2 linked regions of the Drosophila melanogaster genome follow. The protein of the gene in region 1 interacts with the protein of each later gene in a pairwise test. Each region holds a gene or a part of one and is shown in the gene's direction. Other genes may lie near its edges.

What was found.
Region 2: the proteins of CG13097 (region 1) and CG11920 interact in a two-hybrid assay, tested with the Drosophila melanogaster proteins (2 studies listed by BioGRID).

The regions. Positions count from the first base shown.
Region 1 is NT_033779.5:8,511,649-8,516,855, reverse strand, and holds CG13097 (uncharacterized protein), read left to right. Parts: upstream 1-1,987; 5' UTR 1,988-2,101; coding exon 2,102-2,196; intron 2,197-2,263; coding exon 2,264-4,010; intron 4,011-4,116; coding exon 4,117-4,263; 3' UTR 4,264-4,682; downstream 4,683-5,207. Other genes in the region: mRpL51 (mitochondrial ribosomal protein L51), read left to right, coding at 1-88; PIG-U (phosphatidylinositol glycan anchor biosynthesis class U), read right to left, coding at 241-494, 555-826, 889-1,513, 1,574-1,703; CG13096 (uncharacterized protein), read left to right, coding at 5,088-5,207.
Region 2 is NT_033777.3:25,073,024-25,076,905, forward strand, and holds CG11920 (uncharacterized protein), read left to right. Parts: upstream 1-1,853; 5' UTR 1,854-1,913; coding exon 1,914-2,100; intron 2,101-2,594; coding exon 2,595-3,304; 3' UTR 3,305-3,359; downstream 3,360-3,882. Other genes in the region: shams, read right to left, coding at 1-535, 592-889, 1,144-1,262, 1,336-1,338.

The DNA.
Region 1 (5,207 bases):
CACCAAGTGGCGGGAAATGGAGAAACGCATCCTCTACTTGTACAAGTTCCTCAACCGCAAGACGAAGACGGGCTATTCACATCAGTAAAAAACCATTACAATCAAATAAAATATTTTGTTTAATCTGATATTGTTCGGAGTTAACTTATCTTAAGAGTATGCTCGGCTGCCATTAGGAAGCGCATTCTGCATCTGTACAAAGTTCCTGGATTCTGTCCGTCATACTGATACTGTTAATGCTTACTTTAAGACTATCCTCGCTTCCTCGCCATCGATCAGAATCTTCTGACCATTGAACAAGCAGAACTCACGTTTAACGTGCGCGAACAGCAGATCGGTGATTAGAAATATCTGCCCAGTGGAAAACGCAAGAGTGGCACCGAAATAGAAATTGGCATTTGCCGATCCTGCATAGATCCACAAATGCCAAAGGGCTCCCATCATAGATAGAGTGACCAGGAAGAACGTAAAGACCACAAAGCCATGGGCCATGACTGAAAGAAATTACCAAAGTGCTTAGCAGTTGAAATAACTACGTGAGCCAGATAACTTACATTTCCAACATCTTTTCCACAGCGGAAGCAAGGCCAGATAAAAGCCGACATCGCCCAGGCTGGGATACGCCCTAAAAACGGCCATAAGGGCCACCAATACCGTGGCTAGCAGTAGGGGCTCCTTGCGCAGCTTAATACTTAGTGGCACCAGGTATAATACGGTGGCATTCAATTGGAATGTGATTAGGAACATGGTGCGGAAGTGCTCAAACATTTCAGTAAAAAAGTACCAGAAGAGACCGATATTTGGCTGTAGATCGCGGAAATAAAATCTGTAAGATAGTTAAATACGTAAAAATACAAACAGATAACTAATAAGATAGTTCTTGCTTACATAAAACCCAACGTTCCATCCAGGAAGTTCCAGCTGTTCAGCACAAAATAGTTCGCAACTGCCACGATTAGACAACTGACGATAAAGAGCGCCGCTATAGCCACACCCCTCCTGACCGAATTCCGTGAAAAGACCAGGAGCAGTGGTGCTATAAGTACAATGGGATAGAAGCTGCGGACAGTTTCGAACGCGAGGACTAGAAGGCATGGAATGAGCATTCCCTTCACGAGGCAGTAGAAAAAGAAAGCCAGGAACAGATTGCTTATCACGGTGGAGGTCATTCCAATGCAGCTCATAACAGTCAGTGGACTGAAAAGATATGCCACGATCACAAGTTCCGGAATGTCAAGCTTGTCCAGCGGGCCAAACTGCAGCTCTTCCGTATCCTTGGCATACTCCTTTCGCTCCTTGTCCTGCTGATCCTGCTTTTGCTTGACGAATCTCAGACTCATCGCATAAAGCAGGGCCGCCGTGCAGATATCCAGGATTATGTAGAATATCGGCAGAAACTGCGGGTATTTTTGAAACAATCCGGAGAGCGCGCTGAGTATCAGCGGCGATTCGTGTACCAGGTCGCCCAGATAGGGATCAATGCCACTCTGTAGAAGAAATATCCCCTCTTGCACTGCAAGAATAACTCCATTCAGACTTGTTCATCTATTTGATGTCTACTTTGTTTACTTACTGCGCTTGTGTGAATTTAAAGGTGTCGCGAACTCCACTCGGTTGCCAATCATCGGAGCCAGCGGCGTGCGACAGAAGTAGAAGCGCACGGCGCCGCCCAGCAGGAGCAGTTTAAAGAACTTCGAATCCATCTTCTAGTTGGGCATAGTTTTTGTGAACGGACTCCGCCTGTAAAAAGCCGCCTACAGCTGGCTTGGTGGTGGCAAAGGCCTTCGATAAATTATCGATTTCCTTGTCACGATATACGGCTTCTGGTCTACTGTGTAAGCAATTATGATTTTTTTTAGAGCTTTGTTTTCTTCAAGTTAAATATATTTATTATTTTTGGAATAACAAATTTTGGCTCAAAACAGGATTCCAACTCGCATAAAGTTTTTAAGCTTGGAAAAACTTGTACTTGTATCACGCGCTCATCTCTATGTATCTGTTCCATCTCTCACCAACTGGTTGTTGTTTTTGGACCCGCTCTTGCGCTCGAATTGTTGGAATATATATTTCATTTAATTAAGCACAGAAAGCAGTAGTAAAAATGATTGGAAGTAAAAAATCCAAGGAGGCGAATGTCTTCAAGGAAATCGCAGAGAACTTCGAGCAGCTGACCAAGAATCCAGAGCGTTTTCTCCAGTTTGTTTTCCTTCCAAAGACCGCGCACGTGTTTTTTCAAACGTAGTCAAAACAATTTATATTTCAGGCCACAGCCGGAACAAGTGAATGCCATCGAGCAGCTTATCCAGCAGACATACGCCGTTAGCATCAGCGAGGATGTGGCGAACAAGAAGGAACTGCTGCCGGAATTGGTGCTGGAGCAAATGGACGAGGAGCAGATCTGGCAGCAACTGGAGATTCGCAACGAACTAGTGTTCCAACAGGTGCTGGAGCAAACCGCCAGGCTGACGGCGATGCGCGAGCAGCACCTGGGCATTGAACTGGACGATGGTGAAGAAATAGAGGAAGAAGACGAAGTAATACAAGCTGAAGACTCAGGCGATGAGGAACAAGATGAGGAATCAGACTTCAGCGACGAGGATGGAGGGCTACAAAAGCAGAAGACCGCGCCGCCGAAAGACAAACGAAACAAGCGACTACGCAACTCTGTGGTGGACGATACCTTCTTCAAGTTGGAAGAGATGAATGAGTTCCTGGAGCAGGAGGATGCCAAGGAGATGCGCCGCCTGAACAGCAAGAAACGCGTTGAGCAGGCCGATGATATAGATCATTTCGCAGAGGATTTTGGTCTTGGCGAAGATGAGGAGGACGATGAGGAGGGGAATGTCAACTATGCGGACTTCTTTGACATGAATGAGGAACTGACAGAGCATTCTAAAAAGATTAACAAAGGCAAGCAGAAAGATTTCTTCAATGAAAACGAGAGTGAAAATGAAAATGAACCGGATGAGGATGCAAATCCCAAAGAGGGCGATTCTGATCAAAGCGAAGGAGACGAGGGCGATGATGAACCTGAAAATGATCAAGATCCAGATGAGGCGGCCAGCGAAATAGATGAATCCGAATTCGTGGCAAAAAGTGGCATAGAACCTGCCAGCGATTCAGACTCGGATTCGGAGAAAGAAGAGGAGGAGCCACAACCCACAGAGCCACCGTCCCAATCATCCAATGAGATGAGAGAGGCTCGTTTGTTTCAACGCATCCGCGACTACGAAGACATTGTCCTAGGCGAGAAGCCTTGGCAGCTCAAAGGCGAAGTAAAGGCAGCCAATCGGCCCCAGAACTCACTGCTTGAGGAGATTCTCGACTTCGATTCGACCACCAGGCCAACGGCGCCAATCACGGAAGAGGATAACCGCTCCATCGAGGACATAATTAAGCAGCGTATTCGCGACAAAGCATGGGACGATGTGGAGCGCACTGTGCGACCGGTGAACACCCCGCAAGAGTACAGAAAACAACTTGTGCTTGACCAGGAGAAATCAAAACAATCGCTGTCGCAGATCTACGAGGCGCAGTATCAGCGCGAAATGGAAAAACTCGATCCCAATCGCGATGCCGATGACAAAACTGGTCCGGAACCGAAAGAACACCAAGAAATCAAGCGGGCAATGCGTTCCCTATTCCTTAAATTGGACGCCCTCTCCAATTTCCACTTCACGCCGAAACCGGTGGCGCCGGAGATCAAGATCGTAACGAACACACCAGCAGTTCACATGGAAGAGGTGGCCCCGCTGGCGGTGAGCGATGCCAAGCTGCTGGCACCCGAGGAGGTGTTCCGCGGACCCAAGCACGCTCCACTTGGCAAGACCGAACGCGATCGAACGGATAAGAACCGCGAGCGCCGCAAAAAGAAGCAAAAGCAGCGGGCCATCCACTCGGCTCTGGAGCAGCGCGAGCTTCAGCGAGCCAAGGAGGGCAAGGCGCCCACAAAGAAGGAAGCGGATGCCAAGCTGCTCAAGACAATCACCAAGAATCGCAATGTTCAAAAGGTATATAACATTTTAGTTTATCTCTGTTTTATGTTTTGTATTTAATTGCTATTCTTGAGCGATTTTGAATTCTAAATGAATCAAACTTTAAACGATTTTCTTGCAGATCAATGCCAGCAGCAACGACCAGGGAGCTCTGAAGTCCTCAAAGGCTTTCTTCCACAAACTGCAGGATACCGCAGCGGCTACAGCATCCAAAAAGCGACCGAAAAAGGATACCGCCAAGGCGGATGCCAAGAAGCTGAAGCTTTAAACGTACACGCTAGGACTCCTTCATATTGTAATTGCCTTAAGCCAGCAAAGTTTTCTCGTCTCCAGTCACGTGCCAGAAAGTTGTCACAAGCACACACGTATGCCCACATAGCAATCCTTGTTGCAAGAATATCTTTAGCATGTACTGTGTGTCTGGGGAGTCCCCAATTTGGTGCTCCATGGGAGATGCCATGTGTCGGTACTTTTAATGTTCCATGTGCGCGGATCCATCGTATGTGTATGTGATGCGTGGGCGCTTTGTGTGTGGCGGCGTGTGAGTCAAGGACATTCTGTGTCCTGTTGAGGCGATTAGGCACGCGTGCAGCTTGCGGAATTTGACTATTCTTAGAATTATTTACTTAAAATAACTGTTTGCTATGTAAATAGTACCCTAATTAAAGAAAGCAAAGCAAGTAACGTAGCCACTTGTTTTTTTGTTGGATTAGAGTAGAAATACTCAATCATATAATCATCATCATAATTTCTATATTACATTACAAAATTAAAAAATTTAATTTTATCTTCTAAGGGAGAAATAGAGATGGGATACAAATCGAAATCGATATGCTATAACGGTCAATTTTCCAATCGGTTTTGGTGAAACAGCTGCTATTGGTGCTCGGCCCTGCGAAGGGGGTGTGTATTGGCTAAAGTTGTGACCGTGCCTGAGACATCGGTAATGAAAATAGTTCCCGATATCGACTGTAGCTACGTTTTGCGATTCTGAACATATCGATATTAAAGCGTAGCACGTGTGGTTGTGGTGCATTTTAAATATAGTTTTGCTCGAGTTTTTACGCATCTGTCAAAAAAGCAAAAAATAATATGGTTAAAGTACAGAAACCGCAGCCCAAGTCGCTGAACAAGAGCGCCAGCATCGAGGGCGTGGTTAAGAAAAAGGGTAAACCGGAAAAGACCAAGAAACTGGCCACAGACGCTACTCTG
Region 2 (3,882 bases), on another chromosome or scaffold:
TGGCGTTGGAGCCCAGTTGGTAGTTTTCCATAGCCCCGTAGATACTCTTAAAGAGTGGCTGCCTGTCTGAATGGAAATAACCACGATTTCCGTGGATAACCTTAACGCCAGTTTGAGACATATTGCAAATGCTCATGTACATGCAGTGATCTGGACGGTAGTTGTATTCGCATGGCATGATGTACAGCTTATCAGGATGATAGTAAAATAGTATGTTGATTATGTCTTGATCCCCCCAAATAATGCGTAGCTTGTACTCCTTATGAATAGACACGATATGCTGTTCCCATTTCATTTCTCTCATCCGTGTGAGATTCATTAGCATAACGCCGGAATTAACGCCCAGTCGGCCATAGAATGGATGTCGTGCAAATCTATTGTACCAGCCAATGTTTTCGTTCTCGTGCTCGGGCGTCAGTGCGGACATTTGCGTCTCATTGAACTTCTTAAAGAATCGCCAGATATCCGAGATGGGCGACAAAAACAATATATCCGTGTCCACATACAGCAATGAGTCCACATGCGTTAGCAATGACTAGAAAAATAAGGGTTTGTTACTCTTGGAATTATATGGATGTATGAAGTAATTACCGGCAAAAAGAGACGTTGAGCTGCACATGGCTTAAAGAGATTCCTCCACTCGACTTCATTGCCACTGGGAAACTTCAGTGGCAAAATCTCAAAGTCAAATGTAAACGGCTTGATATCGCGCCAGTCGGTCAACTTTTCCCTGAACTCATCACCCTTCCCGTCCTCCGTGAAGATCACAAACTTGAGGTACTCCTCGTCGTAGTTGAACAGAATGGCTGACTTAATCATAACCAGAGTCTCCTGCACCCTCTGACCGCAGGAGACCACCACGATGTAAAGCGGGGGTTTCCCAGTCTGCCTGCAAGGTAATTTTATACTTGTTTACTTGGAAAGTTTAAGTGAATCATCTGATTAAATGCAAACACGCCTTGTGTATTTGCTTTTCCATTATGGGCCTTTGTTTGGCAACAGGGAAACTATAACAACCGGAATGGCCGAAATGAAAGAGGTCATAAAACCGGAGGTGAAAGCTAAAGTTTTATATTCCGGACTAATAAAATATATGGTTTTTTTTTATTTCTATATGTGATATATATTCTGATCTCCACTTACAATTCGTTATAGCCGAGCATCTTTCCCTTGTTTTCGGTTACCCAGGAAGGTCGCTGATGGACGAAATATGAAAGTATCGCTAATGCAATTAAGCAAAGCAAACACATGTGAAGATGTTGCTAAAATGGTGCCAAAATAGTATTTACACTTAATATTACTCTGAGACTCTTGCAAGTCAACTTTTTTATTTACCATTTTCAGGTTTTGCGTAAACAATGTTTTCGCCGCAAATTGTTTATGTTTTTTAGGCCGCCAACCGACGATGCCATAATTTTTTACCGCAACGAGCAAGATATGTGCATAACTCCTTATTTAACCAATGTAAGCAATGGATATTGCTTGGTCCTGGGATTTGGCTACAGCGAAACCCATGATAAATGCATTTTTGTTTAAACAATGCGCAAAAACACTAAACAACTAGCACATTTTACAGTCGTAAATATTTGTGTTAGTCAAGATAGCGGCAAGGCCCTGGGCTTTTTAAAATCTCATGAGTGTCACTGATAAATATTTTATATATTTTGCTTATTCATTACAGATTACTGAATAAATAATAAAACAACATGTTTACAGCCTGCAAGTAAATATTACTTGTATTACTATTTAGTTTTGAAAATAAACATATGGTATAGAATTATCCACCGTGTTTCTTTCCATTCGTTTCATCAGCAGCTATCGATAAGTTATCGGCTGTGATCCAGTGGTGTGGGTATTGTTTTCATTTATTTTCAACAGCACACGTGCAACCAGAAATATAATAACAAATAAAAATGCTGCGAAAACAAGCCAGACAGCGAAGGGAATACCTGTACAATAAAGCGCTCACTGAGCGCCTCAAGTCCAAACAAAAAATCCAGGAGACCGTTGTGAAAAGCATTAATGAAAACAAAGCAATTGGCTCCAAAAATGTGAAGAAAAGTCTCACCGCCTACAAGTCGCTGAAATACGCGGATGAGGGTAAATATCAATATAACATTTATTAAATAATGTTTAAATAGTTTCAAGACAGTGCAATTATGCTGTTAGATGATAGCGCAATTATGCTGTTAGATGAATCTGCAATACAGATGTTTTCGTTTGAAAGCTAAAATCCCAAGAGCTTACAAAGGTAGCATTCGTGTTTCCCAAATAACCAGTCGAGATTTTATCGGTAGTTAAGAACTAACAATTACAATTAGTAAATAGTAATTTTCTATGCGTGTTTAGAAGGCAGACAGCGACACCACATATTAAATTTTGATTTTAGTGCAATTATACGCGTGTGTCCTGAGATTTGAGAAGATAAAACCGTCTTTTTTTGAAAAGGATCCTTCTTTAACTATAAAACGTTGTATAGATGTTAAATGGCGTTATTAACAAAGATTTTTGTATAACGTTGAATCTCAAATTTGGTGTATTAAATAGAATTATTATAAAAGCATTTGCACTAAAAAAGGATCTATGTATTTCAGGTGTCGATGACCGCACTGTCAATGATGAGTATCACTATGCCGGATGCGAGGATCCGAAAATAATGCTGACCACCTCGCACAACCCTTCGTCGAGATTGAAAATGTTCATGAAGGAACTGCGGCTGATTATCCCAAATGCGCAGCAGATGAACAGAGGAAACTACCAGCTGACTACACTAATGCACGCCTGTCGTGCCAATAATGTAACCGATTTCCTAATTGTCCATGAGCATCGTGGCATCCCGGACAGCCTTGTGGTCTGTCATCTTCCGTACGGGCCAACTGCCTTCTTCAACATATCCGATGTGGTTATGCGACATGATATACCCGACATTGGACACATGAGCGAGCAGAAGCCACACTTAATTTTTAATAACTTTAAAACGCCCATTGGCCTGAGAACTGTTAAGATACTCAAACACTTGTTCCCAGTGCCCAAGGAGAACTCCCAAAGAGTTATGTCTTTCCTAAACCACAATGACTCGATTATATTCAGACATCATCAGTACAAATATGTGAACAAGGAGTTGGAGCTTACCGAAGTGGGCCCCAGATTCTCACTGAAGCTGTACCAAATTAAGCTCGGCACTTTGGAGAACATCAAGGCAGCTGACACGGAATGGATTAACCGACCTTATATGAATACCTCGCAGAAGAGGCTCATATTTTCTAACGATCCGGGCATAATAAATAAGGACACCGAGGCTTAGATTTAGAGATACCGAACGATTTAACAGAAATAAATTTGTTTTACTTTTATAATGTAACTATTTCTTTTATTTTTATGTGGCTATTACTATTCAAAACTACCTTACATAAAGAATGCACTAAAAATATATTTGAGCAAATAATCAAAGGCTGCAAAAGAAAAACGGCCAATTATCGGAAGACCGACCTTTGAAAGAACATTCGAACAGTAGTCGTGAACATTTGGCGATGACCGTTTGACTCTTCAAGTTATGAGTCCCAGAATCAGTTTAAGGAGACACCAAAAGATGCTGCAGAACATGGGTATTTCAAATCTGGGTCACGCCCCCTTTTGCCTCTTCAGGTCACGAATTTCTGTGGCAGGCGAACCCAACAGATGCGCCAAGCCACTTCTACGAAAAAGTGGAGTTATTTTCTCCCGCCTACGCCAATATATTTACACTTTTGAAAAGAATTTGTTTCGAATGGTTCCTTCGTGCGAACCAATTACCTTTTGGACTATACATTGTATAGGGAATACTTATAGGAATGCATAATTTAAGAGCACTTAAAAGGTAGCCAATTTGCTAACTTTTTCGTA